2 linked regions of the Neodiprion lecontei genome follow. Each later gene encodes a partner of the first gene's protein in a complex. Links are inferred from orthologs where the notes say so. Each region holds a gene or a part of one and is shown in the gene's direction. Other genes may lie near its edges. The genes, in order: dystrobrevin beta and beta-1-syntrophin.

Region 1 (4,896 bases):
TTAGCACCTCATAAATGTCTACATCTGATTTTTTTCTCGATTTTGCAAGCAAGATAATGTTAATTATTGCTTTCTGCAATATGTAAATTGTAACACGTCCGACATTTTAAAAATCGGTCAAATCACTGCCATACTAGCATTATAATCTTATATTGTAAATTGCAATCTTGTACGATGAAGATAGTAAGTACATATATTTTTAAAATATCTAAATATTAATATATACACATTAATATATTTGACTAGATTTTGTAATAAGTACTTGATAAGTCTCCGACATACCGCAAACGTTTGATAATATTTTGATAACTTATATAATGATTCTAATATTTACAAGATTTTTCCTTAAAAGCCACGGTAACATTAAAATTTACCATTTATTATGCTGTGCCTAAAGAAACTGATTTAAAAAAATTTTAGAAGTTTATAGAAATATAATTTACCATGTATGCAACTTGTCACCTATCGGTATAACAATATACTTAAACATTAGTAATTTCATAAATATGTGCTCCTAAACGAACTTGTAACAAATAAATATATCCGCTAATTGTGCTGTACAACTAACTATTCTTGCATCAAAAATAGAAAGTGAATCGCTAGCTTTAATTGCTAACAAGATCAATAAAACCGTTACATCAATTATACATATATGAAATATATCAAAATGTACAGTTCGAAGTAGAACAATTCACCAAAAATGAGGATTATTAATATTCATTCTATTACTACAGGATATTTACGTAAAATGCATCTTTCACTACTTTTATGCATGTAAAGAGTGCAGAAAATTATTGATGATTCAAAGATAACACTGACTTTCAAAATTACTGACTGTTTACTATTATAAAACCATACGTGGATACAAATTGAATATTGCATGTAAGAGAAAGTGTCTCAAGTTCTTAAAGCTTCGGAATCAGCCGCTTAAATGTTCAATCCGTTCTGCCATACATTGTCGAAACATAACCAAATTATTAGAATTTATCAAAAAGATGTGTCCTTTGATCAAACTGTAATCCCCAGACGCAATGACAACGTTATCAAATATATTTCTAAAAATAAGATGTCATTGGTAAGGCAAATTTATAAGGAGAGATCTATGTAGTAGTCAAGAAAAGAGTTCAAAAATAAAAAGATTCACTGTAAATCCAGTATATGAACTTTACTTCACCAATGTTGTGTATAATACTTAACATTGTTGTGATAATATTATCACCGTTAATATCGGATGAATAATTAAGATGTTTTAAACACACAGTAATAGATCATGTTTACCGTTCGTACTTATCGACTGTAAAGATGAAAATAATCCCACATACAGAGAAGCATGAAAAAGTTATTAATTCCTCTATTTTCTCAGTAAAAGTCAGTATAAACTAAATGATATGTTGCTTCTTATTATTTTATCATTACTTGATTAAATTGTTACGAATTTAAAATGGCTGTTTCCCTCTGCATTACAGTGAGTTTGAAATTGGCGCCCGAAAGACAGCCATGGGCAATGGATAGGGGAGTTTTTGTTTGCGCTCCCGCCCGAGAGAGGAGCTGAACGCCGTATCTGCTAGTGTACACGCAAATATGCATTAGCGCCTTATGGCAGCGTTCCTCCTATCCTATCCTCCTCGGACCGAACTACAGAAGTTAATTTTCAGTAGGCAGTAATGGCCGTAAGGATTCAGGTGTGCGTTGTGTTCGTGCTGTGTGAGATACTTGTTTACCGTCAATATTCAATGTAAAACACCGTCCTCGCGTCAAAAAACAGGTAAGAACAGTAGGGTATTTATCCATACTGAAAAACACCAAGTACCCCGTTTTGCTGCGAAATATAACTCTCGGAACTCCTAGTTGACAGTTCTCAGCTCTCCAGGTAGTCAATAACGTACACATTTGTGAATTGCCGTCTTGCTAGCAGCGCGAACTGCAATACGCGACCTCGAACGAGTGGCATAATTGTTGAGATAATTTTCTCAAGCTTTTACGCCGCGCTCGTTGATCAGGCGATTATCTTTGCGCCAGTTTAAGCATGAGCAATAAAATTATCAAGCCGCGTACCGGTAAAGCAGGTTAGGTGAACGTGTACCACGGTATATTGTGACGTCACAGTCGACGGCCAATCAGAATTCAGCCCTTCGTAGGTCCATGCACTTTGTTGGGTGATTTAAAAAATCTACATACACATATAATGTCGCCAGGCAATACGCTTATAACCTTATTCCTAAGTATAGAAACTTGTACAGCGTCGCGACCTGTCCGATTAATTTTATGTTTACAGTCTGTTTTCTTTATCCGTGACAGATTCAAAGTCAGTTGATTGCGATCATGCTTACTTGATTATATCCTCAAACTGTTTAATGTTCGTATCTAACAGTAGCGATTTATTAATATTTCTTAAGAGTGGTAGGTTGAAGGCCCAGAAAATCTGAAGATTTTACAATGTAAGAGTTCAATATTGCCTTCCTTTGCTGCTCACTATTAAGTTCTTAAAGATCGTAGATCTTTCTTACGTACGGTTTGAACCAAATCCTCGTATTGGTTATTGGCAACGGTCAAAAAGAATGAATCAGTATTTTCAACTTTGTTTCCAGGGAAGTTATTATGATCACCCCGAACACAGAGGACGCTGAAATTAGCCACAGGTTTCCACTGCTGAGAGCTTCTGATCATGATTTTCTAAGTAGGGGTGCACCAAATTACAGCAAAAAAAGTTGCATTCGCAATCAAACGTGAACACAAATTCGTAGCGTTGCGCGCTAGAGGGCTGATTGTGAAACCTGCGGCTAACTTCAGAGTCTAGTCGTCACTTTTAGATGGACGCTGGGCGTGTGTGCATGTGATCGATTTTTTGTAAGACGATATCTCGCGAACGATTAAACGAATTTTTATGGCCTTGGTCACATTGATAGGATTCTTTCTAACCCCGAATTGACTGGATTTTGGGAAAATTTATCCGATCCATCTCTGAAATCTTATCGAAAATAACTATAGAATAACGGGATGTTCTAGGACTGGTTCTTTCAAGGCAGTCGCGTTTTTCCTGCTTTCTTTTACTTTCAATTAAGAAACTTGAATTGAACTTAAGTTTGATCTGTAGCGAGATTTGTATGATGTTTTTGTCATCACGGTTTCATTCGTCTTTTATTTTATTCACTAACCCATTAAAAAAGTTTTCTGATTCCCCGCCAGATTTACAGTTGCTACTTAAATTCGTACTTTTTTGAACGTATATTATACAACGGCGGGTAATTGACGTCCAGTTTCCAAGTTTTAATATTGGATGTGCACATAACTGCAAAAGTATTAAACCTCATTATCAAACGTTTTTCCAACTGGACCAATTTCTACGATAATGGACTGGGAAAATGAATAACTTTGCGAAATTGTGTATATTTTGAAATTTATTTATACGTACAATCTTGCCAATGTGTATTTACTCTCGGTTAGAGTCTTTTAATTTGAAACTATTATTGTTATGACTCTATAAACTCCAGAAGTTACTATTAATGGCATAAAACGAGGATAATAGAAATAGGAACCTGAGTAATCCAATATAGTACAGGGTAAACTTTACAAAAAGTTTACGGTAAGTGCACCAGGAAATGACCGATTGAAACGATCATTTATTAGTTCACGGTCCTTTTCTAATCCTATAATATCGATTTAACAATTTAGAAATGGCTTTTAAACTTCTTAGAAATATCACAAAATCCCAATTCAAGTCAATTTTTGTCATGCGACTATATCCTATTAGCTCTCATATCTGCACTATATACTATCATTACGTGTAACAAACTGAAGGTAGCTTGAATGATTTAGCAAAGACTTTGAAACTCTACTAATAGTGAGGCAGCATGAAATTTTTATCAATATCCCCCTTCCACTATTTACTATGCAGTTAGGTATATTTGTGAAATAGTATTTATTCGGGATTCTTTTCCTTTATGTTCAATGTAAACTTGAATGATGATTTTATTAGGTACTGTATACTTTACGTTCTATTTACGTGGACAATGCGGGAAACTCGCGTATAACTATCAGCAAGAACGAGAAGCTATCGTTGAAACTTGGGCTGTCTGAAACTTCTTCAAATAAACGAGATTCGGAAAATATTATTGTATACTTTTCATGTATAGTATTCACCACACATCCAAAGGTTAAAATATTAGATACACACCTATGTTATTTTTTGTATGATCCAGTCCATTCGATAAGAATTTTTTTGTTGTTTTGCCCATTAATGATATTCTACACATGCAAGACAAACTACGTCACTAAAGTAACGAAAATAACATTTTTTTGAAGTGTAAATCATACGACTTAAATTCTTCTTATTGTTAGCTTTTTTGAAAATATTAAATATAGCGTCGCACGGTCGACAATTTGTTCATTTTGATTAATTACTGTACCTACCGATAATTATCTTCAGATCATGAACAAACTTGCTTTTCAAGTTTGCTGAATGATCATAAAACATTGATAAAATTACATTTGTAGCTTTTCACTATTATAGGTATACCTATAATAGAGTAGTCTAATTTTGTCATCACATTTTTAAAAAAAGTTTTACCGTGTAAAATTCTCCGGTTATTTAATATTTGCAAATTATTGCCGAACACGCACAGAAGTGGATTCTTTTATGGGAATATATCACATGTACTAATAATCATCTACAACGTATAATGTTAGGAAAATTAAAAAATTCCAACACGTATGTTTCATTCCAAACACACTTTTTCTCTAAATAATAATTTATCTCTTTTATTGGAATTTGATTTGATTAAATTTAATTCAAATGGAACGTAGAGCGCACCTGATTATAACAGATACGTAAATTGTATGTCGGATTCGTATAATGCATGTCGTATAAGAATAATTCATGTAATGTTTCGTTACATC
Region 2 (4,991 bases), on another chromosome or scaffold:
TTCAGTGGCACTTTCGAACACATTGCAAAAAGGTCGATAGCCGTATTTCGGATTTTTTTCAGGACAGCTGCCTTCACGACAAATTTCCGTATCGTACAAATCAGAAAATCGTATTACAAACTCTTCTTATTTCTGATCAATAATAAATTGATTTAAAATTTTGTTAAATCGTAACCCGTCATCTTGCCTAATCGGTAATCGAGAATCTGATGTATGTAAGTATATCAATCGCTTCATCGAATTTTCCGAACTCCTTGGCCGACTACTAATTGAAAATGATATAATTTCGCTAAGTTTGGAACGATCTCGTTTCTCCGTGCATTAGAAAACTGTAAACTACGAATTACACGTCTTGATTAAATCCGTGACTGTGAGCAGTCGCATTCCTATCACCTCCGGTGTAAAAACCCTGGTGTGGAATTTTGGGGGCGGGAAGTTCGAAAAAGCCGTTAGGTCGAGTCGATAGCGAGCGGCAAAGGAGGGGGGACGTCGAAAGGTGGAAGGTGTCGAGAGGGAGGGGGGTGCGAGAGAGACAGCGCGGCGCAACAAGTGCGGATACGATCCGCGAGGGTCGCTGGCGTCGAGGGTCGCCGGTATTCGGCGTCGGGTTCACCGGCGGGTAACGAGCGATTCGAACGCCGGTAGCTCGTGCCGCCCTCGAGATTCCGGCTCAGTCTGGCGCTGATCGCGTCGGTGAAACGTGTTCGGTTGTCATTCGTTTGGGCGGCGATTTTGCGTCGCGGTTACTTTAAACGCGTTGAGCGATGCTCGAGTGGAATTCTCCCGTGTAGTGAGTAAACCGGCCTCTCAGAATCGCCCGAACTCGTCCGAGGCGTGTTGTAAACTGGGATTAGGAACGGATCGGCGCGGCCGAGTGGCAAGTGGTAAACAACGCGAAGTCGGCGACGAGTGAAAGTCGGCGATTAACAGCGCCGAGTGTGTTTATTTTTTTTTTTTCTTGTGAAAAAGGCCTGTGAGTGTGTGTGTGTGCAAGTTCGTGAAGTGCTTCGGACGGTGTGTGAGAAACTTAAAGCCCGCCAAAACCAGGGATATCGGGGAATTTCGAACGGTCGGCGATGCTCAGTTGTCGGGCTGCCGGGTTCGGACGCCTTGAAGTTAGCCCCTGATCGTCGATTGTTTTGTAACAAACACGTTGATCGTTGATAGCCGGACGCGTACCGAGCTCTCCGTTATTATCGGCAATTCTTATCGTCACAGTTTTGGTTAAAGGTGGAAAGGAAACTACGGGGAACTGAGATAAACGAAGCTAGAAGCTAGAAGCTAGAAGTCGAAAACAAGATAGACGGATGGTGAATAAGTAAACAGGTGAAAAACGCGTTCGCGTTCTTTTATTTTTCTCAATCTATTTTCTCGCTCGCCTTTCTTTTCCAAGTTTTATATCTGCAAAATTACTGTTAATTGATTGATTCCTAAGAACGAATCGGTGCGTCGCCATCCTTCAAAGTTTATCATTGTAGTAGAAATAATTCGTAGCGTGCGGTGGCGCATTTTAGCCTCGAAAGAATAATAGTAATTGCGGGTCATTGCGGAGTGAATCTAAGACGAGGATTGATTCGTTATTCTGCTTGAAATGTGCAATTGAGTAACTCTCACAATATTTATAAATAAATTATTGCGAGACTCCGGACACGGATATTCGGCGTAATAATTATTGTGTCTGCGGTAGCCGGAATCCGACGACTGGAGTTTGTTATTACCGAAATGTCGCTGACACTGCACTTTGCCTCAATTTCCTGTGAAAGAAGAAGAAAAGAAATCAACAACATAGATCGTAACGATAAAAATAGCAATAATAATAATAATAACAACAACAACAAGGGTAATCGTGGCAAGTGAATGAAGAATTATCGTTAATTCTTGTTCGCCTCTTGTAGTCATGGATTAGCAGTAATCAGTTTTTTCTCTCAGCCTCGAATTTCGTAATACCCCGTGTACTTGATTGAAGAGTGGTGACGTAGAATCAGAGAACCGGCGGGTTTTTCGAAAAATTGGACAAAAACTATGCACGAATGATTGAACAACAGAAGGGAGAAAGAGAACATTTTTACGAAAATTCAAATAGGCTAATCGACAAGAACGTCATATATATGCCAATACACGCCCATAAATCGGTAATATATAATAATTAACAAAATATCACTATTCACGTATAATCAATATCGTATTACATTGCAGATTAGTGAGAAAGGGTTATAAATTTGCGAAAGATTAGACAACGAGGAGGAAAAAAAAGAGTGAAAAAGCAAAAAAACCTTACACGAATACCAACACTTTGAACTACACGTACATTAAACACGTTATTTTTATTATATCACACGCATCGTTACATAGTTGTGTCCTTGATTAAGTTTGCCCGGTTGCATAACGAATCGATCTCAGTAACTTACGTTGGTAATAACGTTGCCTTTTTTTCTTGTACGAGGTAATTGAGTTATTATTATTTATCATTATTATTATTATTATTGTCGTTGTTGTTATTATTGTTGTTGTAACATTTATTCTTATTTCATTCTAATTGTCGGTGATAGGATTTTTTTATCTCCACTTTTCTTTCTTTTTTCACGTATATTTTATGTCGATACGTATTATATTTCATTATATATTGTGTATGCCTTACGTTCACCTTTCGTTTTAGCTGCAGTTTCATATACGTTTTTCACGCAATGTATGTATGTACCTATTATACGTACACGCGTATATATATATATATCTAGTTGAAATCCGGTGAATTACATAACTCGAGTTAATTTACCAGAACTTTATTCTTGTTTGTGAAATATCCTGCTCTTTTATATTGCGAATTAACGATCGGTTCAATTCAGCGTTAAACAGCAGCATGCTGATTGTATGATGTATAAATTTTGTAACTAATTGCTGAATTCAGTGTTTCCAAGTAGCAAATAATTGTTGACGACTCAATTTCAATGGCAAACACATCGCCACCGTTGTACGAAATATAACCGGAAAAGTTTTAATTATACCTGCGAGGCACACACACGTGTACAATATACCTGTGTATATAGGTGTGTTAGATAGTTGTCACGCAGGAATTTAAGGGGACTCCGGTATAATATAATGAGAGTGTTAACTTTGACAAATGAGGGGGAAGATTATGTACGGAGGTTCGTTAGTTTTCTAATTAGACTCTTTTATCTTATAAATAGTTCGGTTACTTTTTTGTATTTTTATTCTTATTCTCCGTTTGTTTGTTTTTTCAAACTGACGGAAAAATAGAATTCTTCTTACTGTCAGCTGTTGTTAGTCAATTTAAAAAGCTCATATGAAAATCTGTCGCAATAAATCGGGTTCCGGTTTTTTTCAATATATTATTGTACAAGATGTACAAGAAATCGCCGAAAACTGTATGATTATTTATGTATCATCCTCTGACATTTGTCTGAAAAATAGTTTTTTTCGCTGAATAACTGTACACCCTGTACGTATGTAATTCTCCTAACATTCGTGAAGTTAGCAATTGTACAACTATTATACTTTATATACAGTTATTTGCACTAAATGATTCTATCCGCGTTCTAATTCGTTCAATTATATCTCGTTTGTTCTCTTTCGTCCCACGTTTTTTTCTATTTTCCTTCTGCTTCTTTTTTTTTTTGCCTCTTCTCTTCTCTTAATTCTCTCACGCTTATTTCGTCGCAAGATTTACGCGGGGATTTTTGGATTTTTGTTTTTCTTCCACGTTGGTTTTATTTTCTTTCTTTTATCCTATGCGCAGTATGTACAATTGTACACGTATATACGTATCGAGGGTGAAGTTTTCTGCAAGCAGTGACGCAGCATCATCAGGCAACAGAAGCCAGCAGCGCACGTGGCGGGCAGCAGCGTTCGTTCAATTCGTTCGAAAACTCGTTGGTCGGTTCGTTACCTCCTTGGGAAACTCTCATCCCCTCTCTTACATTTTTCTTTCTCTCGTGTATTCATGTATATGTATACGGGGCATTCCATGACATGTCGATCAAGATTCTACTTCGATGCCTCAGATTGGCTTTATAATTTTTTTCTATGGAAGTACACGACGAAAAACGCGATCGCAATTTTTTTCAGAATTTTTCGACCCAGCGTATCTGAAGTATAATTTAAAAACTTGAAAAACAAACTTAACTATCGAAAATCTGAACAAATTCATAAAAAATCCGGAAAATATCTACTCGGAGAGATATTATAATGAGCTTGTACGTCAATTCTTGTGTCGAAAATGCAATGTAATAGCAGTATTTTTTTTTTCATTTTTATTATTCATTTCTCGACGTTATGAAATCTCCAACTTTTAATAGGTGTCAAAAATTTTGTTACATTTTACAAGATTTTTCAGATTTTAGAAAGTGGGGTTTCTGCTTTTTCAAATTTTTAAATCATAATTCAGATACGCTGGGTCGGAAATTCTAAAAAAAAAATTACAATCGCGTTTTTCGTCGTGTACTTTTATACGAAAAAACTATAAAGTCAATCTGAGACATCGACGTAGAATCTTGATCGAGATGTCACGGAATGCCCCATATACCTACACACCAATCTCTTGTCTTTTCTTTTCTCTCCACTTCCTTTTTCGTTTTTCGCATTTACTTCAATACACCTATACCTTTCTATCTCGTTGCCGTCAATATTTTTCACTACTTTTATCATAATTTTTTTAAATCGTGCCTTTTATATTCATGAACTTTCACCTATACCTTTATATAAACCGAACATCTGACCTTAAATTCTTATAATTGCATTCGCAAGTAAAGTTTACGCTATATATAAGATGCTTATTCTGTGTGGAGTCGTTAAAATTGTTTTTCCGGTTCGTGATTTTTTAAAATAATTTTTATATATTTTTAATAATTATCACGTATGCTTTTTTAACCTCAAAAGATACAAAAATTAACACACAAGTTATACACTAAACATACAAATTGGAATATCGAATACGAATCGTATTACATGTACCTACGTGTATAAATAATATTCTG

What was found.
Region 2: dystrobrevin beta (region 1) and beta-1-syntrophin share a complex: the UniProt entries of both Caenorhabditis elegans proteins name them as parts of the dystrophin glycoprotein complex. The link is inferred for Neodiprion lecontei from reciprocal best matches to the Caenorhabditis elegans genes dyb-1 and stn-1.

Annotation. Positions count from the first base shown.
Region 1 is NC_060262.1:18,390,765-18,395,660, forward strand, and holds the start of dystrobrevin beta, read left to right. Parts: upstream 1-1,598; 5' UTR 1,599-1,765; intron 1,766-4,896. UniProt on the Caenorhabditis elegans protein: Plays a role in cholinergic transmission and as a functional partner of dystrophin (dys-1), necessary for muscle maintenance. Required for localization of ctn-1 near dense bodies in muscle cells.
Region 2 is NC_060263.1:19,321,056-19,326,046, reverse strand, and holds the start of beta-1-syntrophin, read left to right. Parts: upstream 1-1,693; 5' UTR 1,694-2,030; coding exon 2,031-2,132; intron 2,133-4,991. UniProt on the Caenorhabditis elegans protein: Adapter protein that binds to and probably organizes the subcellular localization of a variety of membrane proteins. May link various receptors to the actin cytoskeleton and the dystrophin glycoprotein complex (DGC).